Bombyx mori: one gene and its partners. The protein of the gene in region 3 purifies or fractionates together with the protein of the main gene of each other region. This does not show direct contact. Links are inferred from orthologs where the notes say so. Each region holds a gene or a part of one and is shown on either strand. Other genes may lie near its edges. The genes, in order: Ywhae, ADP-ribosylation factor 6 and kinesin-like protein KIF23.

Region 1 (10,970 bases), on a different chromosome or scaffold from region 3:
ACCGCAAGCGTCGCACGAATCGTGGTTATGACCCTTTCCAGGCCTCTTGTAATATGGATGCTGAGGCTTCTTAGGCTTCGGGACGTTCAAATCCTCATCCGGAGGCTTAATTAGGGCCTTTATTAACTAAAACATTAACAACATTATTAAAAACATCGCTATTTATTTTAAAATAGAAACAAATGCAGCAACATCCATATAAAATGGCGCCGTAGATCAAAAATTGCTGGGCGTTATACTATTTATTGGTGGAATTCGTTGTTAAATTCAACTTACCGGCATAAGACCTCCCGATGTATCCATATCATAGCTAACATTAGACATTTTTTCAATCAAAAACCTTCTAAGGAAACTACACAGGAATCACAAAACTCGAATACAAATAAAACAATGTACCTAAGGCTTTAGTGAAATTACACCAAAATCTTGAATGATTTCGATTCCGACACAAACTCAAATATTGTGAAGTTGTCAACAGAATTTGGTATTGAAATAGTTTATATGGCTCTTGGTAACTTAAGATCTTTAAGACGAAGGAGATAGTTTTCAGGTACTCTCAGTTAATAAAAAATTTAAATCGATTCGAGTACATACATAACCTATAAGTTACGTTGGCTTTTATCAACTATAACAATTATCAATCAACAAATCTATGGGTAGCGTATGTAGATGATATGGAGTTATGGAGGGTAGAACCGTCTGTGTGTGAAAAACTGTCCGTTAAAATCTGCTAAATAAGGGTGGCGCTACAATAGCAACCGGGTAAATTTAAAAAAAGGGGCTGAAAGTTATTAGAATAAAATAGAGTAATAAAAAAGGACGAAAAAACTGTCAGCACTACAAAATCACAAAAAGTATATTATTTAAAGCTGATAAGAAAATGCAATCGATGTCTCCACGTTTTATCACAGCAATAATTTTTAGGTTTTATTGACGAAATTAATTTGGATTATGTAAACCTGTAAGGTATTGTATATTACACTGTCATTAATTACTCTAGTAATTCAATCACTTAACAACTGCTCAATTCATATCATTCCCCTGTGCTTATGCTAGCGCCATTCTGGAGGATTTTTGAGCTGTTATTTAGTGCTGAAAGTGGGACACTTTTTCAAGCTTCTCCCATACATAATATTATTTTATGAGACTGTTTCCCGGCTCAGTGAATTTGGACCCCTTTTTATTTTCGGATTTTTTTATTTTTAATTATTTGTCCGTCGTTTGTTCGTTAATGTTCGAGTATAAAAATTGTTTGATCGTCTTTTATTCATTTATAATTAATTAAACAAATGATCACCCTTAAGTGGGCTCCCTTTACTAGATATCTTTATTTTTATTGCTTAGATTAATTCATTTTGATCAATTATCGTTTGTTCAACATTTATTGGTGATTGTTAGATCATAAAAACAATTAAATTCCCAATTATCAATTATTTTATATCTAATAAGCAAGCCATCACCTCACGCCTACATTGCGCATGCGCCGGTTTTGTCAGTCAGCTGGCAATTTACTAGCGTTTTTTTAACAAGTGCGTTTATACTGTCTAATTATTCCTTATGTAGATCTAAAAAATAAATTGAAAACTTCAACAAACTTCAACAAAAAAGTGCCAGTGAAGACGACCAATTAGTCGTTAAAGTACGATTAGCGCGATTTTAATAAATTCAGTTATTTTCAATGGTATTGAATATGAACAAGCACATAGAAATCTCAGTGATTTCAATCGAACATTAACGAACAAACGACGAACAAATAATTAAAAATAAAAAAATCTGAAAATCAAAAAAAGGGGGCTAAATTCATTGAGCCGTTCTATAATGTACCTATTTCACTCAATACTACTCTGAGGGTTTTTCTTTGATCTACGCTTGAGGACTTTTTGGCGGGAACGCGAGGAGTGAAGTTGTGTGATTTGTTTTATTTTGTCTATTTCGTGTTTCTTCGGGTTTAAATGTGTAATAATGGTGGTTTATTAACTGTTTAATATCTGTAATAGTGCACAAATGTGGGAAAATGAAATAAAGCCGCTGGACGTAACTTCTCGGGATCCTCCAAAAAGTCCACTGAAAAAATCTTAGTAAATGACCACCATTTTACTGAGATTGTACTTCATCCCGTATCATCTCATTTAATTTCATCCCAGTTGATTGATGTCTCAAATTAATCATCTTCATTTCATTTCACTCCATAATATCATTTTTCATAAGAATATGAATATAAATTAAGGTAAGACATGACTTAAAGGTCTCAGATACCAGGTCATAAAATCCCTTAAAAAAATCTACGCTTGACATTTGACATTTTGATAGAGTGAGATCACGGAAAACGGAAATTTAAGTATTACCGGCCTATAAAAAGATTAATTTTCTAATTTGGTAATTTAAAAGCTGAGTCTAACAACACGTTAATTAGAGAAAAAAGTTGACCTTATTTAATAGAAGGAACATAAATTACAGGTGGCAACGGACCAGTTGCAATGGAGATCAATTGGAAAGGCCTATGTTTAGCAGTGGACAGCGGCTGAGATGATGAAAAAAAAAGTGTGTGTGTCCGCTCCGACGCACGACTGGAGTTTACTGGATATAAAAAATTAAACGAAACAATACGAGAAATAGTTCTATATTACGACAACACGATACACTACAGATTATTAACAAATTAACGAGACACAAAACAAACGACTAACAAATATATGAAAATACAATAATGAGAGAAACGCGCGATCAGTACGAGGCTTTGTGGCGGACTGCCGGCGCAGCAGCCCGGCGTCACCTGCGATAACGCATTTCGTGTGACATGCGCAATCAGGCGCATAACGCATTTCGTGTGACATGCTAGTACGATTTTGGTCCCCATAATTTTCATACCCCGGGCCTATATATGTAAATCGATTCTAAAGGAGTAAACTCCAAAAATTTTTTTATTTCAAGAGTTATGTATAGCTAGTTCAGTCAATTTTTTTTCGGTAGGCAGCGGTTTGGCGTTGCTGAAGTCCCTGGGCGACAGTAACCACTCATCATAAGGTGGGCCATATGCTCGTCTGCATAATTTTTTTTTTGGAGTTTACTCCTTTAGAATCGATTTACATATATAGGCCCGGGGTATGAAAATTATGGGGACCAAAATCGTACTAGCATGTCACACGAAATGCGTTATGCGCCTGATTGGCTCCTGATTGCGTGATGCGTGCGCGCGCCAATCAGGAGCCAACGCGCGGCCGCGTTATCGCAGGTGACGCCGGGCTGCTGCGCCGGCAGTCCGCCACAAAGCCTCGTATAATAGCCGGCAAACTTCTTGAGCATTTGTTGACGTAGTGGGGGTAAGTTTGCGCATGGTACACTCACGTGCAAAAACATTATTTACTCTGCGTCATAATGCAATTAAATTATTAAAATCAACATATGTATTTATTTATATATTTATTAGAACATCAACAAAAAATATAGGTTAATAATTGTAATAATTTAATCTTGGGGTAAAATAGATATTCCTTCTACTAAGTCAAAACTAGAGCTGTTGCCAGGTCTTCGTTCAGTTGAAGCGAAGCTGGTATTTGTAATTTTTTTTTCGTTATCATAATCTTGACCATTATCATCATCACTGTTTTCATCACTGGAGTCGCCATCATCGTGATAAGTGGACATAGGGCTCATCGGTGTAGTTTACGACTCGGTCGGTTCGATCTTCTTTTTTGTCTATAATTTATTATTTTTTGAAGATATTCGATTCGTAGTAATCGAATGTTACTTTTTTCAATTACCAGCTTCCGATTATTTTCTGTTTTTTTTTTCCATCTGAAGCCTAGCTCTTTCATAATTCGTCGTAAACTTCATTCCGAGCTATTAAAATGTATATCTTCTTTAAAATTTTCGAAGCCTTTCTACGGTACGGAGTTTCGCTGCTTGTTATGTAGTTATTATGATTACATCTTTTTATTACAGATTGAACGAAACTATCCATTCCGGTAACTTTCTTCTTCCCTGATCTTTTCTTACCCGGAGTCCCAAGCACGACGAGCAAGCCAGAGCCTTTAGCTTTCTTTGTTAATAATGCACCTAACAGTACTCACTGATGTTTTTGTTGCTTCCGAAGTCTGTTTTACTTTTTCATAATATCATTCTTCCCCTGTTTTATAATGAAGCAATATACGTCGTACACAATTTTTCTGCCCTTTCTTTTGAATACTACACAAGTTTGTCGCGGCATAGTGTATTTTTTATAAAAAATCAACAAATACTCAACAAATAGCAATGGCAACAAAGTCAACAAGCAATTATAACAAAATTTATTAACGATTAATAACGATAGACTTTTCACTGTACGCAAGCGTACTTTTGGGAGCAAGCGGAACGAAGGCGCGGTGCGGGACGCAAGGTTCGACTGATCTACCAATAACGCGCTCGATACGATTTCCCCTGCCGTCGCGCCTCACCCTCACCACCAAAGTGATCTAAAATTCGGTTCTGCGCAGTCAAGGTCATTTGCTCACGATGTTTGCCGGTTACTATACTGATCGCGCGTTTCTCTCATTATTGTATTTTCATATATTTGTTAGTCGTTTGTTTTGTGTCTCGTTAATTTGTTAATAATCTGTAGTGTATCGTGTTGTCGTAATATAGAACTATTTCTCGTATTGTTTCGTTTAATTTTTTATATCCAGTAAACTCCAGTCGTGCGTCGGAGCGGACACACACACTTTTTTTTTTTAAATTACAGTTTTTATTTGTTTTTTTGCCTGAACTTTCATGAATCTAAGCTTATTAGAATAACTTTATTTTATATTGGTCAAAGTAGAATAGTAGTAATAAAAATGTAATTTAACCTTCCTTAATTTTTTCATTTCAGTTAAATCAGTAGTTAAATTACTTTTTATCTGGCAGCAAATGTAGAACGGAAGCTGCCTAGTCTATGACGTCATGGGCGGAGTTTAGTTGAAGATCGAATTTGGATTCGGTTGGCGGGCGCGGCCATCTTGGTGAATAAGTGACCTGGCGATTCGGATTTAGTTAGTGTAAAATCATTTGTCATCCACAATGTCGGAAAGGGAAGATAATGTGTATAAAGCAAAGTTAGCTGAGCAGGCTGAGCGCTATGACGGTAAGCATATATTTTTACTGTAATGCTATCATTCAGTCGAAGATTCTATCTTATTTTCGCCGACAATTGAAAAACGATTTTAAGATTCTTTAGAGAATATCCTATGTCCAAGACGTAATTATCATTTCATTTATTTCAATTTTCTATTGCAAATAGCCTTGTAGGTCGCAGTTTGTATATTTGATAATAGAAAAACGAGTCAATGGTATTCATTAGGCTTGGCCTGCGATCGATGCGTCATCCACCGGTGGGATGTCTTAGGTTTTTTACATGAACAAAAACGCTGAATCCATTCTCAACCTGAAATAGAACCTTCATGGTTCAGTTACGATAGTTTTTTCAGTTGTAGAATCGCAACTTTATGACTGAAAGTTTCCAATAAAAGTGATTTTCAAGAATTTGTAGTACCGTTGACCGGGTGTCAGAGGATCTGGATCGATGCGCCACTGGTTTTCTTGTATGTCTGCTATTGTGATCCAGACACATTAGAAACATCTTAGTTATGACGTAGTTTTATGGCGCCTTAGATTTCACCTATTGTTCACAATTTGATGCCACGGGAACTGTCTCCTTAGGGTTTTACAACGATTTCGTCTAACTATATCGCTTTCTGTTAAAGTATTATCATAGTTTTCTGTCATCTTCCTCATGAAAAACTCGGGAGTAATAATTGAAAGTCTGTGAAGGTCCACGGTTCAATGACCTTAGTTACCATTATCATTGAAGAATATCATTGTCAATCTTATCAATGCACAACATGGATGAAATATGAATGACTTGTTACACAACTGTTACACTTCATTTTATTGAGTGCATAAAGATTTTTCATCTTCATCTATCTTTCATCTGCAAAAAACATGGGTGGTATTAGATATGACATTCAATTCTAATTTTTAAAAAAGAAGCCCTAGGCCATCCTTATCCATTTCATCATGGGTTCTAAGTATTGAATATTGCTCTACATACATAGTGTGACATAGAGAAAATTGTAACAGGTTGGTCTGCAATCAGTACATTATTGATTATTTTTATGAACCACTAAAAGTATTGTCAGTGGGACTAAAGTTGACCACACCCTTTTATGGCTTGACCTTCAGCCAATATTTTGCAAGTGTCTTTATTTCATATGAAATTTATTGTAATTTAATTTTAAATATAATTGTGCTAATTTGCAAGTGAATGTCAAACTTAAATGGATTTATAAATTAGAAAGTCTCATTATGTTAGTCACACATATTAAAAGTATGACTTCATTGGAACTTGCCGCATGATGCTATGACTAATATTAATAAAATAAACTTTCAAAAAATTTGAAATATCTATGTTGAAAATAATTTTTGTAGTGTACACTGAATGAGGTTGTAAATTAGAGGATGTTGTATCAGTTCGTACTCATCACATGTGACTGCTGACTGTAATCATTGGCTAATATTTAATAGTGCTACATTGGAAGCAGTGTCTAAAAATTGTAGATTGTAGTTAAAACAAGCCTCACCACGATTGGTCCTGCACTATCTGCATCATTTTGGTGAGGCTTGGGGGAGGTCTATGTCCAGCAGTTGGTGTCTGTGGGCTGAAAGATAGAAGATAGACGTGGTTAAACCAATAGTATAATTCTCATATTTATTTTTAATTCAACTTTTATTTATTTATTACTTAGATGGGTGTACAAGCTCACAGCCCACCTGGTGTTAAGTGTTTACTAAAGCCCATAGACATCTACAACGTAAATACCGCCACTCACCTTGAAATATGAGTTCTAAGGTATAGTAGGTAGTAAGGTATAGTTACAACGGCTGCCCCACCCTTCAAACCGAAACGCATGACTGCTTCACGGCATAAATATAGGCAGGGTGGTGGTACCTACCCGTGTAAACTCACAAGAAGTCCTACCACCAGTAAAACATTACAACATTATTTTTAATTAGGAGTTTTTAAAATAATAAATTCTAATAAACTACATGGCTATATACGTTGGTAGAAAGTAGTGCAAGAAAACAATGTGTGTAGTTGTGTTATAAATCAAGTTTTTTCTTGAACACGACAGGATAGGATGGCCTTCTATTTTGAGGTGATTTTTCAGTAGTTTAGTATGTAACTTTCATGTCCTACTGCACTTTTTAGATTTTTTGGGTCGTACATAATTATTGACTCATGCAACAAACACTTGAAGAACACATCACACACATGCTCTGGTTAATAATTGTGTTAACCAACAAACATGCAGAGGAACCAACTATTTCTGGGAGATTAAAATTGCATTGCAACAAATGCAATGCAGATGAACTTTTTTAACATATAACTTTCTGCATGGGTAACAATAAGATAAATAAATTGGAATTTTAAGAAAGTGTTATCCCCTTACACTGTCTTTTCAAATTACCATTACATCACATTCATTAACTTGACTGACAAATTCAATTCAAACCTCTTTAGAAATATTATATTTGTATTAAACAGTGCTTACTGAGCAAATGAGTTGATTTGTCTAATTTATTTCCCATCTTTATGATTGTTCTTAAGTATCCTATATAATTGTAAACAAAACAATGATATGTTTATTTTCCTTAATAATCTAAACACCTTAAAATGTAGAATAGACTCAGTTCCAACTGCATTAGAAGAATTAATGTAATTAAAATGAATATTATACATTCAGAGACATTTAGCATACTTTGATGATGCTTTAGGGAGGAAAAAATCTTATGTTGATTGGTCTGATGGCTCAGACCAAGATGCCTATAGGCTATGTAACGAACACAAAAGAGCTGCCACCTGATGATAAAGGGTTACTGTTGCCAAGGTCCCCATCGGAAGGGTCATAGCTCTTAGCGGCAAAGCCCTTTTGTCCCTTATCAATCCAACTTGTATACCCGCCACAGTATGGACATTGTTTTGAGATGATGAGTTGAAGTTTGAGGAAAATACTAGATTATCAAAAGTCGAAATGTTGAGCAAATATCTGCCCAATCTCCTAAATAACAATAATAAAAAGAAAAATAAATATCTATAAATATGGCGAGCTCACAGCCCACCTGGTGCTAAGTGGTTACTGAAGTCCATAGACATCTACGACGTAAATGCGCCACCCACCTTGAGATGTAAGTTCTAAGGTCTCAAGTATAGTTACAACGGCTGCCCCACCCTTCAAACCGAAATGCATTACTGCTTCACGGCAGAAATAGACAGGGTGATGGTACCTACCCGTGCGGACTCACAAGAGGTCCTATCATCAGTAAAGTACCAGATATGGTAGAAATGTACTAAAACGAATAATATATCCTATTTTTCAGAAATGGTGGAGGCGATGAAGAATGTAGCATCACGCAACGTGTCCGACAATGAGCTGACAGTGGAGGAGAGGAACCTGCTGTCGGTCGCCTACAAGAACGTGATCGGCGCCCGCCGCGCCTCCTGGCGGATCATCTCCTCCATCGAACAGAAGGAAGAAACAAAAGTGAGTCTCGTGTAACACTTACTTGTCTGCTGATGTAACTTGTCATAATCAGAGCTTAGCCCGGATAAATAAATTGGATGATTGTGTTTTAGTATCACCCAAGCATTGAGAGTTTAGAAGAAAAACCTCATATTTTGGTATCCAGACTTGTTTTGTTAATCTAATGCATCTAGAGGGCCTCATAACTTTTATCATGAGATTGATTCATGATAAAAGTTTACATATGTTCTGCGTGTATGTTTTTAGTGTTTCATGATACAGAGAACTCCTGAATTTTACCTGTCTTAGCTATAGATTCATTATAAATTGAGAGAAATCTGAGTACAGCAATGTTGATCATTTAGTGGTAGCCCCTTAACCAAATGTCATTGTTGAACATGTTTACATTATATAATTGAATGTTGGAAAATGAGAGATCGCTTCCCCAATACATATGTAGTATCAAACTACTTTTTGATTGATTCAACTGTTTATGTTTGGAGAAAACGGTGCGCGTGCAACTTGGTGCACGTGAAAGAAGTGAGACTTCTTTTGCGGTGTTTAGTATTTCGGTTTTCTTCATTTTTCATCGTTAAATGAAATTTCTCTTGTAATAGGTAATGCTGTGTATATCTTTTCACCATTTATATATATTATATATAGAAAAATATTACTATTTTTTCAAATCCTTCTTTAAAAATAAGATAGTATTTACAAGAGCAGTGAGAAACTAATAACAAGCCATCTAGTGGCGGACGCCCGTAAACAAAATGTGTATAAGGGAAACGAGCCGACTCGTTCCCTTCCTCTCCACGGTCGAGCTGTTCGCGAGACGCTGTCTTGTTTCTCACTCTCGCTCTTCCTAAATTATATGTTTTCTCTCTAGTCGCAACGAATCTGTCGCGAGTTTAATTTTATTCTCAACGCGCCTAAAGAAGTTTCACTTAAAAAACATTTTTAAGTAAAATGACTAATAATGGGAAATGATAAAATTAATAGCTTATCTCAGCAGCTAATTTGCTTTACTCTGTATTCATTGATCTGTGTGTTATTGTAGCTAGCAATGAGTTGATCATGCTTTCTTCTTTAATACTAGGCAAAAGTACAGAATTTGTTATTTAAACGCTGCTCCATTGCTGCGAGAAAGTAACACACTAAAAAACACGTCGCATTTAAATGTAGTGAAGAAATAAAATAAGTGTTGTTTTTTTCCGATTTGTAATGTACCTTTCGACAAACATTTTTTTTAGAATTAATACTTTTGTTAAATTAGCCTTTTCACAATTTGCGGTGAATCAATTTAAACCTGACATCGCCAGCCGACGTCTGTACCGCGTCTGTACGCGCCGCTTCAGTTATTGATCCGCAGCGCCGTCGGGGCTCCTGGTTGTTTCCAAGCTAATCGAGAGTTAGCCAACTAAATGTTAACTTCATAAACGCAATTTGAATCTTATCGACAAGTGTAATGCAAGTCGCTGGCTTGTTTTTTTGTGAATTTCTATTACATATTTAAATATATCCGACCGTCTGACCTTATAAAATTATCGAACCCGCACCGAGCTCAGGCACTCTTATTATCTAACGACAGCGAGCTTTGTAATTTGTTCTTAACGACGAAAAGATTAGTTAAATCATTAATTTATTTCTTTAACAAAATTCCGCAGTTAACATAACTTCAAAAATGTTACAAATTACTTCGATATTCTAAAAAATAAGCTTATTTATGGAATTAAGGAATAGGAATTAGTACGTACCCAAAAACTGACAACAAATAATTGTAGGAATAATTACATTAAGCATCTAAATCACACGCAAAGCATTCCCCGGTGATCGATATCAGTCGCTCGGCTTACTTTGTGTCCATGAATAGTCGCAACTAAAGTTACAATTGCATTGCCAGGACACACGAATAGTGAATCATTTTGTCTGATTCATGCGTGAATCTAGAGTTTGGGCTGAATCGTAATCCAAAAATATTACTCTTTATGGTTTTGTTCTATTTAACTTACGTCATATTCCAAGTTAGACAATATAATATTGAGGTAAAAGTTCCATGGAAGTATTAATAAAGGTGCCGTTCGAATTCCTGTGGCGACATGACAACATAAGAATAAATGCGCATCTTGAAGCGAATAAGCAAAATTATCTCATTACATTAGAATTAATAAAAAAACCCATAAATATTATTGTGATCATTGTTAAGAAATCGCCACGTTCAAATCGACAGAAACCGTTAGAAACATAACATTTTTTATCACTAACTGCGACAGACAAAAAACTGGAATTGGAGAGTTTGTAACTCGGCGTGTAATGAGGAAAGTGAGTCATAGTCAGTTGTTTCATCAGCGGTACGCCCAGTACTCATAGGAGTCGCACGGACTGAATCATCTAATTCCAAATGTTAAAATACCCTTACACACTTAATATTATCATTAA
Region 2 (10,762 bases), on a different chromosome or scaffold from region 3:
ACGAACCGCCGGAAACGAAGAAAAAAAACAAGGATAACTGAAGTAATCTATCTTGCAGCTGTTTTTTTTTCTTTTCTTTAGCTAGTAATTATACATACAGTTTCGTGCAATAAACATCGTGAGCACCCATGAGCAGCATTCGTTTCGAATCTATTGAACCCAAAGTGCTCATTATGCTTTTAGGGTTATATTTGGTATGACGCTCTCGCGTATATCATACACAAGAAAATACGGTCGTACATCTAATAAGACTAAGGAAGTTTAATCGAAGCCTGACAGGCTGCCAATCGAAAGATGCGGGATTGCGTCCGAAACCGCATCAAGATGATGCCACTTCCCTATCATTCATTGATGAAAATGGTATTCGCAATTATCTCCGTGTCCAACTACCTCATTTCTACAATAATAATATAATAACTCTGCGCGTGTGAGTAACATAATCCAGCCTGTTTCTGCCACGCGGTAATGTTGCTCTCTGATTAAGAGTCATCAATATCTTATACCTTTAAACGAGCAATTCTTGTATATATATTAATATATAATATATAATTTGAATCTCGGAAAGGGCTCCAACGATTTCCATAAAATTTAGTATACAGGGGATTTCGGCGCGATAAATCGATCTAGCTACGATTTATTTTTAGAAAATGTTGTTTTATTCGTGTTTTCAATAATCAACTCTTCCCGACATCTATTGGCGAATAATAATACTATTTTTCTTAATTGAGGGCAACTAACCGCTTTAAAGACACAACAAGATGGCGTTATCAAAAAAAAAAACGAGCTTTGCTCGGTCATCGTCTAGTACACTTATAAAACACTAGCGACCCGCCCTCGCTTCGCTTCGGAAACATTAAAACACACATGAAACCAAAAAAAAAAATAAAAAAAAATTAAAAAAAAGTAGTCTATGTTCATCAGGGACAATGTCGGCTTCTAATGGAAAAAGAATTTTTCAAATCGGTCCAGTAGTTTCGGAGCCTATTCGAAACAAACAAACAAACAAATCTTTCCTCTTTATAATATTATTATATATTATAGTATAGAGTATAGATTAGAGACATTGACAAAATATTGAAAGATGACTAATCATGTATTAATTAGCCTACTTAATTCAATTTAAGGAAAAAGTAGAGTTATTTAAAATTACTAATAAACTAAATATCCATCCAATTTATTTAAAAGATAAATACGTTTTCAAAAGTCAAAGTTCAAGAGAGTTCGCTTCACACAATGAGTTAATTCGTTAAAGTTAACATTGTATTCTCACATTTAACTAGGATCAACAACATTATATTATATTATTATAATAATAATAATAATTATCTTGTGAACAGACCGATTTCCATTTTACAAACTTCAAAACCTTGTAGTTTAAGGGCCAAACAAAAAACGGTTACAAGACAATACAATCCGAATTGTTTTAAGGTATCGCATATGTACTGAATTTTAGGCAACTTTTCTATAGAAAAATCTATATCTTGTCTTTATTGGTGTATTCACCATTTCTTTTTTTTTTGGGAACGTTAGTGGACGCGAAAAGGTACACTAACAATTAATAGAATGTAGAGTATCATTTCTTTGCATATTTTGGACAAATATGTACACTGTCGTGGATCACCTCAGAATACCTTTAAAATTTTATTAAATAATTTAAAGGATTTGCCTAGTGATTACGAAACCATCAAAATGTCTAACATTTTCGATCGATTGATTTACACGTATGCGTTATAATATTAATATATAGCACGCACAGGATCACGGATCTTCCGTCAATTACGAGTATATTATGCAGTTTCTGCAAAAGAAGTTTCTAGTACATAGACGCGTCTGAATAACTATGTAATTAGTAAAAACAGGCAATAAAGGCCACATGAGGCCTTGATAACAAAAACTAAATGACTGCCGAGGTTACGCGTAATCTAATCTATGCGACGTGTTCAACATCCTAAAACTAAAATAGAAACCGAAAAAGTAAGAGCAAATTTTCACAATCAACGATAGATTTACTAAAATCTAACAAAGTAACGAAAAATACGTCTGATGGTCACTGGGAAAGTAGAAGGAAAACGTCCTAGAGGCCGGAGCCCCAAACGTTGTTCCGACCAGATCTCCGAGCAAACCAGCGGACCACTTAGCGCTGCACTACACCAGGCAACTGACCGGAACCGATGGAGGCTGACAGTAGACAAGCTAAAACGGAGTCACGATCCTCAGCAATGAGGGAGCGATGGAGAAGAAGAACGGAAAATAACGCATTTAAACATTAATTTGACATATTTTTTCTGTAATTCAATCTAGATTTCAATGCATATATTCAGCGGGATCGCTTCTTTTTGGGCGTAGGGATTTTTCTTTTTTTAAATAAAGTTGAAATATAGATTTAAAAAAAAAACTGGTGCCTAACTAGTGGTACCCAATTTCTTTTTTTTTTTTTTTTTTTTTATTGCCTTTGTAGGCAGACGGGAAAAAGGATGCGCCCAACGTGGGGCTCGAACCCACGACCCTGAGATTAAGAGTCTCATGCTCTACCGACTGAGCTAGCCGGGCTTAAATATCACGCGTCTAAGAGTAAGCCCCACAATGTATCTACTATGATCAATGCTACTATGTATCTAGTGAAACGGCAGCGTTAGAATCGCTGGCATGTAAAACGCGCTAATGCTTTTAGGCACACGACTTTCACAGTGAAGGATTAACGTGAAAATATAATAAAATAAGTTAACGTAATTATAAAATTGCGTAGTAACCAGTATCTTGAAGATGTTTGTCATTATGACGTCTATTAAGACCGGTAGTCATTTAAACGAGAGTTAATCTCCGAGAACTTATTACGAACTCAAAGCGCCTAAGGTGAGATCATGGTTTTTGTAAGCTATTCAAAATACAGTAGGGTCAATGCAAATGTATTTTTACCTACTATTTTGATATTTTATTTGTTATTTATTGTTTGCAAAATCGTAATAAGCCTACTTCTACTAATCCTAATAAGATTTAGATCTTACCTAAGTTAGTTACAGAAATGTTAAACTGTATATTCTGGTACAATTGGTATTAAATATTACCCGCAGTCAATTTGTTTTTATGGAAATAAGGTAACGAATATTCTGAATATACTGGTTCGAGTCACGATCTATTGTGTCAATGACTCTTGGCGCCTATTACGTTACCTTTCGATATTTTTCAAAGAAATTCACGGACACTTTGATTATCAAGCCATTTGATTAATATTATGGTTTCATACATATGACGTTTGGCACACTGATATTTAACAAATTAGCTTCTTTAGGAAAAAAAATCGATTGTCGAACGAAAATTTGAAAAAAAGTTTTTAGAATTACTATACCGGTTGTTTTCGCAACAATCTAATTGCGAATAATCTAACTATAACAATACAATGAAATGTAGTAAAAATTCAACTTTAACCTTTTTGCTTCAGTACCTACGGTTATTTATCGAACAACTCGACCTTTTGAATATACAATTACACGATAATAACGTAAATTCTATACCAGCGAATGTATTTTAGATCTTCAAAGAAATTTCACTCGAAAACGTATTATTAAATCTTAACGAAATAAAATCATTTCCTTTTACGAGAAGAATATAATAAGCTCCATCATAAAAAAGATCCTTCAAGGCAAGCATTTATTTATTCTTTGTATATAAGTATTATGAAAATAATGAGCAGCCCGGCGGCATGTTATCCTCAGTGTCGTTTTCAACTTCAATAAAATAAGGTGTGTTCTTAGAATAAACAGCTTCCTGTATTGCGAATGAACTTACATCGTGAATTAACAATGGGTGTACCTACCACCCACTTTGAGAACACCTCACTGTTTAATGACATATTTTCATTGATTCACATGGGCCTTGCTTTACGGAACTGGAAATTTTTGTTACACTATCACAATTACGTATAATTTTATTCTTTTTTTTTTTTTGTGAGCCCACTTTGCACTATAAACGTACAGAGCTGTACATGGTCTTCGTAAAAAAATGTTTCGGTGGTCCCCTAACCAAATCGCACGTTGAAATGTGAATGTAGTCAGATTGCGCGAGAGCACGCGAGGTTTCCGCCCGTGACGTACGCCCACCGCAACCGAACTGACCAAGTTATAAGCGATGAATTAAACAAAAAAAACACGTCATCGATTTGTATACGATTTGTAAGTTTAATACGTATTGAATGCAGGTATGGGTAATGAAAATAAAACTTCATCAACATTTTTCAATGATTTGTGAAAATACCTTTTTTTTTTCGAATACATATTAAAGATCATCCATATTATTTGGATGATACTATTTAATTTGGTAAATGATAGAAAGTTTTTACATTATATAAGCACGTGTTTCCATTAGCCAAACTTTTGAAATCCCTTGCATTATTTACAGTGAAATGACAAATGTAAACGAAACTCGTTTAACCTTGAGTAATAACCGCGAAAAATGTACATTATAACCTCAAAACTATAAACAAGTTCGTTCTTTGTTGACAGTCATCAGAACTGAGGCAAAATTAATTTTAATAAATCTTTTAACTTGTAACTTGTAAAATTAGCAAATCGGTTGCCATACGCCGTCGCGTTCATACCGTCGCGCATGACAAACAATGTTTTCTGCGTGCTCGCACGTACTTATTATAATACATTCATAGACAGAATGCAGTAGTTTTCGAACATAATATTGATTTAAATAAAAATATGATCCAAAAAGATTTCAAACCCATCCTAGCTTTTTTTTAATTATATGATGTATGGGAAATGTATGATGAAATACTTGAGTACATAATATACTTTTTACTATTATGAACACTTAGCAGCGTTTGTTGCACTAAAACATTTCAAATACTGACATCCAACCATAAAAATAAGATCAAAGATAATTGAATAATATCTATTTTAGCCTATAATATGAATTAGTGTGAAACAAATGAGTATTTTGTCTTTTGTTTCCTTGTCAGAATAACTTCCTTATCTCAAGCTTATTTATTACTTGTTTAGTGCTAGAACTTTCATTTAGAGGGATAAACATTGACGGTGTAGCCATAACTAATTCACACAGATTGAGTGAATGTCTGCTAACCGTTCTTTATTTAATTTCAGTAAGTGCAAAAGTGCTCGCTCAATTAAAACATCAAAGCACAGCTAAAACATAATGAACGGAAATGTAGCATCCAAGTTACAGTGTCAAATAGGAGAAAATAATACATACATTACTTATTATTAAGATTGCAGTTTTATATAAATCAACAGATTAAATTATATTATAATGTGCACAACTGTAGTATTCTTGTTTTTTTTAAAGTTAGTATTTAAATTTATCCTGTATTAACATACTAATAGGTGTAATATTATTGTTGTTTCATAATCTGTAACCCGCAAACATAAAATAAAATACAAAAATTAAAGCTTCAGAAAATTCTGATGTCTTCTATTCAATAGTAATGTGAACTTGGCTCTCTAATTGGTGTCAATTCACACTTCATTGACCTCAACTATTGATATTGAAGAATTGAACTCAATAAATGTGAGCATGAAATGTAAAATGTTTTCTTGTTTTGGCTTTAATGGTGTTTTAATAGCAAACTTTCATAACATTTTATTTTATATATATTTAAAGGGTTGTTTTAATTAAATTTTACAATATATATAATGAAGGGCATAACCTGTGAAATCACAAAGAACATGATAAAGTTCAACATTTTCTTTTAATGATTACGTAACTATTTTAATGAGAACCTAAAAAATACTATATTCTATATTATTGTGTTAACAATAAATAAACAATCATGATATAGAAAGTCTATATTAATTGAAGACTTAAATTTATTGTAACTGTTTGAGTAAGATTAGAATTCAGGAACTATGAAATAAATATACTTTTTGAATAAATTTTGGGAGGCAAACTTTCATTTAAGTTTATAATTTCATGTTGCTTACAAAGTGCTTGATCTTTCAACAGACAGATTTTATGTAATTAATCAATTGGAGTGTCTGTTTGTAATATTGAAATAACCGCTTTTTACTACATGCATATGAATATATATATACGGTACATATACCAAAATAGCATTTGTTACAATTTTTGTCTGTCTGTCTGTTGGTTTGTTCTGGCTAATCTCTGGAACGGCTGGATTGATTTTGACGGGACTTTCACTGACAGGTAGCTGATGATATAAGGAGTAACTTAGGCTACTTTTTTTAGACTAGCTTTGACCCGCGGCGTCACCCGCGGTACGACAATAACCGCGGGTAACATCGCGGGACTCAGCTATCAATAATAAAATTTAATGTTTCCGAAGCGAAGCGAGGGCGGGTCGCTAGTAGTAAATAGGTTTCTTGAGTAACATAAGTATTTGTATGTACATAGGACTCTTATTCATTTTCTACAACTTTGACCACCTATATTTAATCAGTGATTTTATATTCAACAATGTAGGTAGTCCGTTAATTCGGGGGTAATCATATTGATATTTTATATTAGGTACCTAGAAATTTAGGGTACCTATGTAATAATTTTTTTTATATTTTAAGCTCATTCAAATTTTTCAATTACACCAACGGTGTGATTCATAGGCGGGAAGTCGACAACGTAAAGTACAACTTTACTTTGTAAACTGGTTACCGCAGGGCTAAATTCTTTAAGGGTTAGGTCATCAGGTGATCACAAACTGGATCATTGTATTTGAGCGTATGTAACATGTAATAATTAAATTAAAAATTAGAATCGACTTCTAATCGTCACGTTTCGTTGAGGTGGAGCCGATCGCCGACTTGCCAAGCTTGGGCGATGGCGCTACCCGTCAAATAACGGCAACTTGATGACAATTGTGCAAATACTAACCAAACACGCATATCTCTTACGAAAAATATGTATTTATTTTAAAGTTGTACAAATAGGAGACAAACTTACCACATGACAATCGCAAATTACAATGTCTAACATCCACTCAAAACAGTCAAAACAAAAAACACAGCACAAACCACATCCACGATTCGTACACTAGAATTGAAATTTGACAATGCTGAACGTTGACATTTCTTCAGAGTTGCTAGATTGAGTTTGAGAAGGGCTACCCTCAAAATAGATTTTGGTATCAATTGAAAGAGCACCGGGGCAAAATAAAGTATACATGTCTTGTAACCATTAATTAAAACTCCACTACATACCATAATCTAAATTAATTTGCGATTACTTTTGTTATTTTTCAACTATTTTTATTTACTTTATTTATTTATTTATGTACACACAAAAGAGAAGACATAGTAGAGAGTAATAGGAAAATTATGTACAAACTATGTATATCTGAGCGAATTCGTGTTGGCAAAAAGATTCTTGACAAAAAAAAACAAAGACAGAAAGAGACTTCTTATCTAACCATTTAGTTCTTACGAAAAAGAACAATAATTGTGGAAAAATGAAATGCATTCGATGAATTTTTTTTTGAAATTGAGGTTAAGACGAAATTATTTATACTCTCATTTAAACTGTGGGAGCATCGGATAGTTATATGAACATTTTGGAACCCACGTCGACCCCAAAATGTAATTTCGTCTTAAACAGAATTAGTGAGTGAGTTTACAGTTTTTACAGTATCCTAAAAAAAATAATTTATTAAATATAGGGGGGAAATAAAGAGAGACAATCTCTTTAGACAATATAAACAAATATCTTCTCATTCTATTCAATTTATTTTCACTTCTTTTTGTTTTCATCCAGACTGCGTTTATGCTATATTCTGTGAAAGTGCAAAATTGTGGGAAAATGAAACAAAGCCACTATTCATAGCTTTTCGGGATCCTTCAAAAAGTCCACTGAAAAAGTCTCAGTAAATAACCACCATTTTACTGAGATTATATTTCATCCCATACATATCATCTCATCTCACTTCTTTTAATTATTTCATGAATTAATCAAAAAAATTTTTACCTATTCTAGTAACCTCGAGAGGTTATTCTAAATTCGCCGAGCTTGTAGGTGAGTTATCCGGCAGTATGGTGTGATATCTTTGCCTTTTCATTTAGAAAATTAGAAATACTACAAAAATTTGACATTTGATTTATTGTGACATTTTATACAACTAAATTTTCAATCGTTGAATAAAAATTCTACCAGTGCAGGTACCATAAGTTTTCTAAATTTTGTAAATTTGTAAATTCTGGGATAAAATTCAGTTGCAGTACTTAGAACAAGAATAATATGATGTGGACTCGTCAAGGAATTAGGATTATGAACTCCAATAGAGCTAAGTTCTTTAAAAATATTCAAACGAATCGGGCAAATATTGGATGTCCGTGTCGATCCCATGCACAAAGGTTAGAATTTAATTTCTAAAATTACAAATTAAAACCAAGTAAACTACGCAACGAGAACTAATTGCTTAATCTTTATAGGCGCATCTCAAATGCAGCAATCAATAAATGTTCTGTGAACCTATCAAGCGGTCGCGGAAATATTTCACAAACAGTCTCTACTGAATTTCTGAAGAATACTGATAGAATGTCATCTGAAGAACTTTTAGAGAAATTAATAGCTGGATTATCCACGGATATACATCAGAAAAATAGAGTATACAAGAATGATTTAATGAGAGTTATAAACAGAGTAAAAGAAATGAATTTTTCAACCAAAAAACAGGGTTTGCTACTGCTTAGGTGCTGCACGGAATTACTACCTGACGAAACTCCTTCAGCTCGAATGGCTTTAGTTGAATTAGTTTGGAATACTTTAAAGTGAGCCTATGATATTACCTGTATGTTAACATTAAAATTCAAACAATGTTTTAAAACAATTGACTCATTTTAAAATAATAATTCTCAAATTGATTAATTTGTAGTAGTAAATAGAATGATTTTTATAGAATGCTGTTATTGTATAGAGGCAAATTATTGACCTCTTCTTCAAATGAAATTTTCTGATTATTGCCATATAAAACCTGAATTTAATTATTTTTTCTTATTGGAACTACACAGGCCCCATACGAAATTTCAAGTGGATCATTACAATGAGTTGTTGCAAGCTTATATAGCAAATAATAGAACAATCGTAGTGACTACATTTATCAACAAAATGCTGCCTGTAAAACCTAACATCACTACTTATGAGTTGATCATAAGAGCCCTAGGGGAGGTAATAATTTTAATTTGATAAAAGTCATAAATTCTCTTTGGATCGATTAGCAGGGATTTTTATTATTTTATTATAAATTTATTATTATTATTATTATTATTTGTGAGCTTTATGTTTCTAACAGAAAGCAGTATAAGTTAGTTCATTGACATGATAGTTCAGTCAGTGTCTGGGTTGGGTTAGATAGTGCTGTATTGAAAGCAAACCATTTATGCTACAATTAGTATATGTATTTTGATAAAGATCAATATTTATGTGTTCTTGTACTGTTGATCTAACTTTGTGTGAGCAGATTTACTAGCATATCTATATTTTTAAATGCACATAACTATGTATAGGGGATTCTGGCTCTCTTAATGCAGGGAATCCTAGTTTCAACCTAGACAATTTTGTGTGATGTATTTATCGTTGATTACTTATTTCTTGGTGCCTTAATAATATGATACATAAATGCTGAATTTGTTTTATAAATAAATTAAATAATTCCAGGCGGGTGATCTAAATCAAGCAACCGAAGTATTGTCTAATATGAAAGCACAGAACTTGCCTGCTACCGAGAATATATTCAATTCACTGATTATAGGCCAAGGAAAAGCAGGGTAAGTTTGGTTTGAAGTATACTGATTTTGTCTGTAGGCTAGTGGCACACTTGGTTCTAATGTACCGATGTTGAAATTGAAAATTTTTTTGCAGCTTCTAGCATGATAAAACAAACTGTAGCGTATTAGAGAGGGTACTTGTCCTTTTAATAAAAATATTGCTAAGTGCGGATTGTATAAAGACAGACAAAAAGTGAAATGATATGTTACCCATCATGTATTAGTTCATAATAAAAGTTCATAATAAAATAATAGAACATAGTACATATATTATGTTTGAATAACAGTAACATAACATACAATAAAAAAAATATAACTATTACAATTAAATGTGAACATACTGCTTAACAAGAATACAGAGTCTGTCTTGGTCTCCCTGTGATGTATTTTTAGTTCACTGAGGTGATAATCTTTCAAGCTTTGTTTGTACAATTAAATTGAAAGCTTTATCTAATGAATTCAGGGCCCGGGTATCAAATTATTATTACTAGTGTTTTTGTCCAGTGGTAAAAATGATCAAGATTTATATTTATTATGTGTCATTTTACTTTCAAATTTTCTTTTTTGCATTGTTTAAAAGTGAAAAAACCAAATAATATTTTTTTAAAAATAAATTGATTGACAAAGAAGACTTCTTCTTTACTTAATTAAACTGTTTTGTCTTTTCTACTTAAATTGAAACTATTGTTTTAAATGTATATTAAACATTATTTAAATGTATATATTGTGACTAGCCTATTATGAAAATTGTTTTACTGGTCTAGATAGGCAGACAAGCGTGGAGCCTATCTAATTTTAAGAATTGGTAGAGCTCATAGAAATCACAACTAGTGTCCTGGAACTTAACTTGAGACATAAGGTTTAAATCTAAATTATATTGTGTAATATTAACAGCTTCTACAGTTAAGCACTTTGAATAAAAATATAATACATTTTTATTTTCCCATAATAAAGAAATATAATTTACAGTAATCTTCAAAACATTCAAGAAGTATTGACAATGATGAAATCCGTTAAACTGAAACAATCAA
Region 3 (10,718 bases):
TCAATTCGCTTGTTCCGTCCATTCGCTGTTTCGCTTCGAGTAGTTCCGATTAATGACTGATTGCGTGCTATCTCTACAACGCTTTTATAGCCGATACCTGATCCCTAGAATTATCGAGAATATTCCATACATCTCTAGTCGTAGTTTCCGCTATCTGTAAATAGATGGCGTTGTGCTTCTCGAGCGTACTAGATGCTTCTAGGTCCTTCGGTATTCGTTCGACTATTCGGCGATAGATCGTGTTACTCTTACCGGCGTAACAGTACTTATTAACTTCAATTCAAAGTTCACCGTTCGAGGGGCTCTATTTTATACGCGATTATCATAGAAAAACGGGCCCCGATGATAGGGATCGGTTATAAACTAGAGGCTCACGTGAATCGCGCTAAGGAAATATAGAAGATCAACTTTGTTATAAAACTTTTTATATAAAATCTTCTTCTTTTCTTTCTTTCCTATTGCCCTCTGCTGTGGTGTAGGACTCGTATCAAATCCTTCCATTTGCATCGGTCTTGGGCAGTCTGTTCTATCTCCTCCCAGGTCATGCCCCAATATGTCCAGTTCCTTATAGATAATACATAAAAAAAAAGCCGTATTGATTTATAATATAATCTTGAAAACTCTCACCTTTCGTAATTGCTCATTAAATGTATGTCGCAAACTACGTTTTAAATATGATTTTTGCGTTTTTGTCTGATATTTCGTAGAGATAACAAATATAACACGATTCTACAACAATTTTTCACCAAATCTGTCTCCTGAGTAGACCCGTCAAACAATTAGCAATTTCCGAACGACATTCAAATCTTCAGCCTAATATAAGTGAATTCAAAAAAAAAACTATTGGCGCGTAAAGCTCTAACCTCTAACGTCAAACACTTGAACCAACCAATGAAATTTTCCAAAACAAATTCGTGTCACACAAACACAACTGTCCGATGGAATTAATAAAGAAATTGATTCGCTGAATCGAGACTTCCTTCAACTGGTTAATTGATTCGCTGTGAACGGCGGGCAATCTAGTCGTCTTGTCTTTATATTAACGTTGCCACTATAATTGTAGCTACTTTTATGTTTGAATCTCACTATAAACTTAATTTTAATTTGATTATTTCTGACGCTTTGAATACTTTACAGGTTTCATAATCACGGAAAAGTACAGTAAAAGTACTTTTAATGATGTCTATGACGAAAGTACTAGGTGTATTAACAAATAAGAATTTTATTAGACCTAATTCTACATTCATTCATTCTACCTTTAATATACAGAGTATATTATTATGGTTTGCCTGATCATTATATTATATGACTATAAAAATCATCCCTTCATGGTTTCCCGTCCCATTTATATTACTGCTTCTATAACAATGCATGAAAAATCAAGGTTTTTTTATTAAACTTGAAACTAGGATTTTTAAACGGAGTCGAACTTAAAAAATAAACGGAAGCTATTAATAATCTGTACACATTAAGCTTCCGGTTAATTATGATGACTCTTCCGGTCCTTATCATAATGTAGCTAATATGACCGTTATCTATTCATTAATGTAGGTACATTAGTTGTTGCAAGTTAGGGAGGCAGTGAGATTGGAATCCGTAGTTTGATAGAAAGAATGAGTTAGCCAAAAAAAACATTATAATGAACCATAGTCGATATTCAATTAAAATTTAAATACAAAATTAAAATTTCTTTATATTTTTCATTTCTTAAGCCGCAAAGAAAACGAGAGACTGTATTTCAGGCTAAATTTTTTCTCCATCCAAAATCTGACAGTTTTTCTCATGATTAAAACTAGCTTTACTGTGCAGGGAAAAAGACGAAATCTATCATCATTTTGTTCGGTTTTCGGAGACTGAGACTTGTCAATTGGTTATGGAGAATCTTCATCTTAATGGAAAAATATATAATAATATAATCAGACCAAGTCAATTATGCAGTTGTTCCACTATTGAAAGATAACGGAGGCAAAGAGCCACAGACAATGTTAACATAAAAAAAATCCACTTCAATAATGTTGGAACATTTATTACACGTATAACTTTCTTTTCCTACCTAAGCTGAGAGCCTTGAGAGGCTATGTCAGCGTAACCCTAACTTTTGTAGGTGAGCTCACGGGGCTCAAACCTGACGTCGTTGCTAACACGAACCCTAGCAAGAGCCGTGCTTCGCAGAATCTACCACCGGATCGGAAACGCGACCCACTGAGAAGATCCGGCGAGAAACTCAGTGGGCTGTGTCTGGTAGTTAATTTACTCGTCGAGCCCTTCGTCGCAAGCGACGGGTTCGACGAGAACGGTGACCGGGACGTATAACAAAAAACCCCCGAAAACCTTAAAATTAATATAAATACAGAGCCCTTGCTAAATTCAATAACGAGTAAACTAAAAAACTGCAGATATTTGGCGCTAAGGTTCTTTATTTATCTACAATCGTATGTACTTATACTGTTTTGGAAATATTAATGTTCACAGTCGTGTCTTAATGAAATAATACTTTGAGTAGGCGGCACGGCACGAAAACCCTCTTGTCGTGGCCGCCGGAAATTACATACCCGATCCTGTACACCGAATGGTAAACAGTTGACGTCGCCCAAAACACGTCATTACGGATCTTCCCGATCCATTACCAGTGCTTTTAGGTACCTACCTCAAGCACCGATCACCGTCCTCGCGGAACCCGTCTTGCGACGAAGGGCTCGACGAGTCAATTAAACTTAATCCGGGAGTGTTGCTAACACTGGCCCTAGCAAGAGCAGTGCTTCGCAGAATCTACCACCGGATCGGAATCGCGACCCACTGAGAAGATCCGGCGAGAAACTCAGTGGACTGTGTCTATGGGTTAGTTCGCTCATCGAAGTCTTCGTCGTGATCGACGAGGACGGTGACCAGTGCTTGAGGGTCCTAAAAGCACCGACAGTGAATCCGGGGGATCCGACAAGACATATTTCGGACGACGGCGGCTTTGCGTTGCCCCGAAATTTTATGCAGATTAATTTTGATCAGAAATTTTATGCAAATTAATTTTACAAAACTAGTGACAAAAAAATATATAGTACATTTTAAAAGAACACACTTCCCTGTTATGCAATAAAAGGCAAATATACAAAAACAAACGCATTTATTTCTATTTTAATATATAAATTGATATTAACTAGCAGATCTAAGTATATGAGTAGTTTAAGTACTGTTGCTATTAACATAACGAGATGAATGTACGCCATTTAATACATTGGGCGAACCGGTCCTAAAGTTACGAACATCCTGGTAATACAAAAAAACAGGTCACCAAGACAGTATGAAAAACGCCCACAAAAACCCAAACCCAAACCAGAAAGGTCTATTTTATAACGAAATTTGATTTTTCGGATTGCCTTCGTGTCAAAAGCATCAGCTGACGGGCCAGGTTAATGACCTCGAGGGGACGGGCGTGGGACAACTACCTTCGAATTATACCGACTTATGAAATATTAATTAACCGTAACATTGTATTTCAATATGCAATTTCGAAAAGGGCACATGTCCCATATTTTGTGAAATACGTTTTTTCATAAACATGTAGTTTTGAGGCTTACCTACACCCATTTTATAATAATTCCAGTAATTTTCAATTGCTAATTAACACTAAAATATATCTCAAAAGTTAATACTTTAAATTTTACACTGCTTTAGAAAATAATAATTTTTTTTTCATTTCCTGAACATTTTACATTTTCAGATATGTGCCCTTTTCGAAATTTCATAATTATTTATATTTCAGTGTTTACCATTTGTATAGCAAATAAAGTTTTAAGTAAGGTTAATGATTTTGTAATAATATTCAAAGTTTTATTGGCAAAATATGTCTTAGTGACATCTCGATCTGTCTTGGTTCAGAATCCTGGGATTAAGTGAAAGACCTACCATCAGTGCCAACACGACGGTAAACAGCTTTAATGTTACTAAAACCCTAACATCAAGGAATGTCATAAGCTATCAAATAATTATGTTAGTAAGTATTACAATATAATGGTACATTTTATGAGCAAATATACAATCACAGAATGTATTTTAAGTATATATGTTCAAAAATAACATTGAGAATGTCTTGGAAAAGAAAAAAATTCACTGAATCTGTCACTGGCCACTTTTAAGTCAGTTGAAAATAGAAAGCATAAAAAAGATAATTTGAAAGTCACAAGTTCTAGATTCTACTAGAATTACAATCATGATAATAATCAGGAATGTAGGTAGTTTAACTTTTTTACATATTCAATGATTTTGAATGAAAATTCCTACCAAACCTCAATTTAATAATTATATTAAGAAATCGAACAAGTTCTATGCACCACAAAAACATATTTATATTCTTCCACTTATTTCACTTTACCTGATCACGTCCAAGATCATTCGTCATCAACTCTCTGCTTCTTACTGGTGTTTGATGGTGTTTGTGGTGGTGAAGAAGCGGTGTCTCTCCTCTTGCCGGAATGTCTAGCACAGCTATTGCTGGACAATCTCTGCGATTCCCTTGTCGGAGAAAACTGTTTTAGCATTTCAACATCATTGAATATAACTTGAGCTCCTCCCCCGCAGGTGGGTACAACATCACCTTTGTACAGTTTCGTCTCCAATTCACCATCAGTATCTTGCTCTTGCGATATAAGACAGTATTTTGACGTTTTCGAATTGGCAATGTCTTTGACCGTTGTCAGTTTATTAACGATTTTGCTATTCGTCATGCTTGGCTTCATGACTGTGCCCATTGGGACTAGCTTGTTAGGTGCGTGTTCCACCCAGCCTCGACCATCAGCTGACAATGACCGTCTATGGCGTGGATTCGCTACAGCGACCCCTCTTCTTGATGTTGGTGTGTCGCGTGATTGTGGAGCTGAACTGAATGGGGTCAAGAGGTGTGCGGGTAGAGCTCTCGGTGTGGAGCCCGGTGTAAAATGACTGGTCTGAGCACCAATTTCAGTTGTGGAGCGTGGATAATCAAAGTTGTCTCCTCTGTCTGCCATATCAACATTTAACGCTTCTTTGACTTTACGTAAACAGTTTTCTTTTTCCTCAACTGCATTTCTTAATCTTTCCTTTTCTGTGTTTATCTCTTTTGCCTTCTCCTGTTCGGCGGCAATCTTGTGGTTGTATTTTCTTTCAAGGATCTTTTTCTGCTTTTCTTTCTCAAACTTATTCTGGTTGAGCAAATATTCTTTTTCCTGTAGATCTCTCTTTAAAGATGATGTGTATTCAGTCATTTCTGCCAATTTTCTTTGGTGCGTGAGAGATGCATTTTCTGTGGCTGTCAAGCGTTCTTCTAAAGCTCGAATCCTGCGTTCAGAGGCTGCCAGCTGTCCCCTCAATGATGAGTTTTCACTTCTCACTTCTAATGATTCTTTTTCAAGATCCAACAGGGCTGACCTCAGTCTTTCATCCTTCACCGCCTTACTTCTCTTAAGTGTTTCTCTGCGACTGATTCTCATTTCTAAATGTGCCATCAGTTCCTTAATTATATGGGCAGCTTGAGAGCTATTCAGTTCCAAGCTTGGGAAGTCTGGCCCGAGGCTGTATACCAAACCTAGATCTAAGTCCAAATCTTTAGCCTCCGGTCTCGCCATATTGTCACGAGCTGTTGTGAAGAGTCTATTAGCCTTTCTGCGGCCAGACATCAAACCTATTGTTGTTGCGACATCTATTACTTGGGGTTTAGCAACTTCAACTTCTGCTGCCATCTCAGCAAATCTCATCACTTGGAGGGTTTCATCATAATCTTCAGCTCTTGGATTTGCACAGACTATCATCCTTACTTGTCCTTCACCTTCAAAGAAATTTTTGAAGAGATGAGTAATTTTAGACTCTCTATAGGGCACCATGTTATTAGCACTGTTAATTTGATTTTCTCTCAACGCTTCTAAGCAGGTTCTAAGAGTCATCAATGACTTATTAATATTCCCGGCTTCTCTTAGTCTTTGTCCTGTGTTTTTGGTTCGGTTAGTTCTTTCGCTACCAGCTAAATCAACAAGACTCAGTTGACTAATATTCAAGAACTTTTTATTTTGTATCACAGCTTCTCCCATCTCGTCAACTGGTGCCTGCACTAATCGTATTGTGAACACTGAGTGACTTCGGCTTGATTCTGCGTTCAGAGTCGTGTGAGCCATTCGTTTCCGTTTCAAACCTAAATAGAAAGCATCAAAGGCATCCTCAGCTGACTTAATCTCGATTTCAGTAACCCCGTGGACATACATATTATGGGCTGCATCTTCTCTTATTATCTTCACTGGAAGGTTCCTACTAATCGGAGGACCATCTTCTAACAAGTCAAAAACACTGTTATTGTAGATTTCTACATATGTAACGAACACAGCGTACTGATTGTCTTCATTGATACCTTCTACTTTAGTTATATCCGTGGATGCCATAGCTAAATCCGGATTCGAATTATTTTTCTTCCCAGTTTTAAATTTGTGAAGTTCCTGTTGCCTCTCTAGCATGGCCTCCGCTTCGTTTTGAATATCGAACATGTTCATTTTGTCCGGTTTGAACACATATTTGTGAGCTTGGAAATCGTTAATAGTTTTGAAAATAATATTCAAACATCGTGGTAATATCCCGCAGTTCTGGGGCTCGCCGGTCATCGTGAACGTTTTCCCGCTGCCCGTGACCCCGTAGGTGAATAACAAGCCGTTTTTACCTTTAATCAAGCCTTCGACTAACGGCAGTGAGACTTTATCGAAAACTTCTTGCTGTGACGCTTCCGGCGGGAAAATCTCTTTGAATGTGTATTTCATGGTTTTGCTGCCTTCATTTCTGTAGCTTAACGCCGTTGCTGGCGGCGTTAGGAGTAATGTGGTTGGTGATATAATCTTCATACACGACACATCACTTTCTCTTTGCATGGGGCGAAGTCTACAGTAGACTTGTACAGGATCGCGGTCCTGAGCGAGATTTTGTTTACTACGCGCCGGCGTTCGCATCTCGTTTAATCTCTGTTTCGATTTAACGGACTTCATTTTTGTTATATTTTATCGTCACATATAATATTTAAATATTTCGGTTGAATATCGCTTCAACGACTTTCAATAAATCAAAGCAACGGTCTCTGAACGGCCGTTCATGAAATATCAATATTAACTGACTAATTTAAAATCAACTTATTTGCTGTCACTTTTTAATAATGGCAGTAAAAATTATACGAAAGGATACCAAGGTCGTTTAGCGGAAATACCATTTGAGTTCGGTCGGATTATATCTACCCGTTTCTTTTTAAAGTTTTGACATTTTTGTTACTAATGATACCAGCTAATAGATTGATTTTTCCTGAAGCAACTTAGATAAATGGAAAAGTGTTGGACGGTTAAATTTGAGGGGTTTGGGTTTTGTAGGTGAGGGGCTATTTAAAAACACTGCTTCATGGTTAAATATATTACAAACATTTTGTACAGTATTACCCCATTGCAATATGTATTTTATTTTTATAAAGCCCTAAGATGTTGCACTGTCCGTGTCTAGACATAAGTCTTCGTCATGACTGAAGAGAAGACAATCATCTGTTTTAAATATTTAAATAAGCATTCCAACATTCGAAAACTGTTACTTCACATGTGACAAGTGTTGTCTGCCATTACTTACATATTCAAACTCGAACAAAAAGTCTGCAGTTGAATTTTTCTCTAAGGATGTGAACATGTGAACCAGTTTCACTAGGCCTGGTCTGCTAGATTTATTTGAACTAAAACGTCGTTTTATTTTGCATAGACGATTGAATGAGCTTAGAGCCCAGCTAGTAAAGATTTACTGGAGGGAAACCATAAATATCAAAATGTAAATATGGCCACTGACCTTGAAATGTTCGATCTAGGTCTCGATTGCGATATAAAGCAGCTAACCAATAAAACCGAAACGCATTACTTCTACGTGTCAGAAATATGCTGGTTGTTGGGTGTAACCACTCTGGGTTACGAGAGATCCTAATACCAGAAATTCTGTAAATTATTACTGTTGCAGGCTTAATTTTTATTGCATAATGTTTTCCTTCAACGTGAAATCCATTCGTAGGCATGAGCTGAGTACGTATTTCGCTTAAAAAATCGGTACCCGTCTCTAAGATTTGTACACTGACATAGTAAGATAGCTCGATGTGAATACATTGAGTACTTTATCCTTTACACTATGTCAATATTAAAAGCTAAGTATATACACGCCTGTGTGTTTGCCGCTAACACATTATTTTTAATAACCGTATTGCTACTCTATCTATCTGCAGTTGTATTGCTTCACTACTTTCCCACATTTAACGGAACACTCACCCTTATTCTGTTTTGCAGTTTTTTTTTTACTTTATTTTGAGAATTCCCAAATTTCAGGGACTTTTCATATTATTCTTGAGTGGTCACCATGATTGGCAGTTCTGCCAACATAATTATAGGAATAAAAATATTTTCGTTCTACGTAATATTAAATCAATCCGTTCATAAGCATTGCTATTATAGAATTATTGCCTACAACACTTACATCATTATTTTTTTAACAATATGTTGGAACTTAAAAAAACTTTCTTTAAGTGTACTTCTAAATCAATTCCAAATTAATTAATAAAAAACTGCCCAGTTTGAAGTTTATTATAACAGAGAATGGAACGTTTCCGCTGTCAAAGTTCGTAAACAAAACAAATTATGAAAATGTATGTAAACAAACAATGCATCGTTTAGAAATGAAAACTGTTGCTCACGAAATGGATGAAATTCATTTCAGGGTGAGAAATACGATGGTCGGAGGGCGGACGTCTGGTCGTGCGGTGTCATCTTGTACGCACTTCTCGTCGGTGCGCTGCCTTTTGACGATGATAATTTACGTCAATTACTTGAAAAGGTAAAGGGTTCTCGGTATGAATCGGCGAACGATTCCACGTAATTAAAGAGTACTTACACCGGTAACACGAATCCAGTTAAAGAATTGCAGATCTGTTATAGCATGTTAGGTAAAGGTGAAAATAATTTTCCAAGGAAATGCAAAATATAACAAAGTTAACATCATTAGTACAAAATCAATAGAATAACAAGTTTAAATTTAATCAACTGACCCGAAGCATTGGAATTGAAATTTTATATGAAAAAAAAGAATAATTTTCTTAACTAACAAATAAATAGTTATGTATGAAAATCTATGGTATAATTTAATATACATCCTTATTTGATTCAAGGTGAAACGAGGAGTGTTTCACGTGCCGCACTTTGTACCACCTGACTGCCAACAACTACTGCGTGGAATGATAGAAGTGAATCCGGAGAAGAGAATGACTGTAAGTTGTTTTTTTATGCTTTATCTCATTTTACAATTGAGAACTATCTAAATAGTTTAGTGTTACATGGTCACAGATGACCAAGGTGCTATTCATTAACGTTATTAATATTATGCTAACCACCAGTTGATTTATATAAAAATATTATATATGGCTATGTTGTTATGAGGATATCATTGACATATTCAACTTAGTGGCTGTCATACCAAAGTAATTCAATCTTCAACCCTATGTATTAACTTTGTGTAGTGCATTAGTAGAGAATACATGTTCTCCTTTTAATAAAAAATAGTGCTAAGTGTGTGTTCAGGCCAGTGCCTTCAATTATTTTAGAGCAATGTCAAAGATGCTAGCCTTCTAGGCCGCTAAGTATCACAGCTTAATAAGTTAATGTATTTCACTATCATTCGTTCATTCACTACCCGCTCTTCAAGCATGCTGTACATCTCCATTAAAATATATCAGAATAATATCAAGTGCTGGAGTTTTATTATCACAAGAAACTCCCTTATGTACCACAAGCCGGTACAGTGTGTGTTGTATAAAAAAGACAATGAACCGACACAGTGGTGACCAAACATGTGAAGTTCATAATTCATAACAACACAACAATTCACAACAAGTTCATAATTCACTAAATAAAGTACAGTAAAAGCTCTTTATTCGCAGGGTAAATAAAAAAATAATAAAAAAATGGTTATATATTCTGTAAATATGCTGCGAATACTGAAACCGTGAATATGGAAAAGCACGTTGGATACCTACATATTGGAATCATTATTACCAATACGCATGTACCAATGTACTGATTTGATTCGCGAATGCAGAAATCTTTAGCCGCGAACACAGGAATCCGCGAATAGTGAAAACCCTGAATGAAGGAAGCGTGAATAAGGAGCTCTTACTGTACTAAAACATTGACACTGGCATTCACATTATGATATCGATCATTACTGGTAGCCGTACAACATTAAGCTGTAAACTCGTTAAACCTGAAGACATACATTATGATATGGGTGGATGATAGGACTGAAATTGTCTTCACAACATTTCCAGTTGGCAGAGATAACGAGACATCCATGGGTAACTGCCGGCGGACGAGGAGAACTCGAACAAGAGTTGCCAATGATGGAAGTTGTTCAAACTAGAGTACTGCCTTCAGCTGATGCTGTTGATCCTGATGTTTTACAGGTAACATAGTTCATCCGCATTACTTAGATATGACTTTATTAATCAGCACAGAACTGATGGTAGGACCTCTTGTGAGTACGCATGGGTAGGTACTACCACATCGCCCATTTCTACCGTGAAGCAGTAATGCGTTTCGGTTTGAAGGGAGGGGCAACCGTTGTAACTATACTGAGATATTAGAACTTACATCTCAAGGTGGGTGGCGCACGTTGTAGATGTATATGGGCTCCAGCAACCACTTAACACCAGG

Evidence for each region.
Region 1: the proteins of kinesin-like protein KIF23 (region 3) and Ywhae purify together in Homo sapiens (affinity purification with mass spectrometry; 4 studies listed by BioGRID and IntAct, with this or other methods). This does not show direct contact. The link is inferred for Bombyx mori from reciprocal best matches to the Homo sapiens genes KIF23 and YWHAE.
Region 2: the proteins of kinesin-like protein KIF23 (region 3) and ADP-ribosylation factor 6 purify together in Homo sapiens (affinity purification with western blotting; 3 studies listed by BioGRID and IntAct, with this or other methods). This does not show direct contact. The link is inferred for Bombyx mori from reciprocal best matches to the Homo sapiens genes KIF23 and ARF6.

What each region holds. Positions count from the first base shown.
Region 1 is NC_085122.1:14,127,712-14,138,681, forward strand, and holds the start of Ywhae (14-3-3 epsilon protein), read left to right. Parts: upstream 1-4,923; 5' UTR 4,924-5,034; coding exon 5,035-5,098; intron 5,099-8,391; coding exon 8,392-8,555; intron 8,556-10,970. Other genes in the region: PHD finger protein 12, read right to left, coding at 1-126, 277-324. UniProt on the Homo sapiens protein: Adapter protein implicated in the regulation of a large spectrum of both general and specialized signaling pathways. Binds to a large number of partners, usually by recognition of a phosphoserine or phosphothreonine motif.
Region 2 is NC_085111.1:14,748,012-14,758,773, forward strand, and holds the start of ADP-ribosylation factor 6, read right to left. Parts: upstream 7,074-10,762; 5' UTR 6,916-7,073; intron 4,114-6,915; exon of another isoform or gene 3,787-4,113; intron 2,551-3,786; exon of another isoform or gene 2,478-2,550; intron 1-2,477. Other genes in the region: leucine-rich PPR motif-containing protein, mitochondrial, read left to right, coding at 8,203-8,318, 8,397-8,735, 8,976-9,132, 9,622-9,731, 10,701-10,762. UniProt on the Homo sapiens protein: GTP-binding protein involved in protein trafficking that regulates endocytic recycling and cytoskeleton remodeling. GTP-bound form plays an important role in the transport of multiple palmitoylated proteins form the Golgi to the plasma membrane.
Region 3 is NC_085129.1:18,294,341-18,305,058, forward strand, and holds kinesin-like protein KIF23, read right to left. Parts: upstream 7,263-10,718; 5' UTR 6,990-7,262; coding exon 4,383-6,989; 3' UTR 3,102-4,382; downstream 1-3,101. Other genes in the region: serine/threonine-protein kinase BRSK2, read left to right, coding at 8,731-8,847, 9,179-9,277, 10,334-10,468.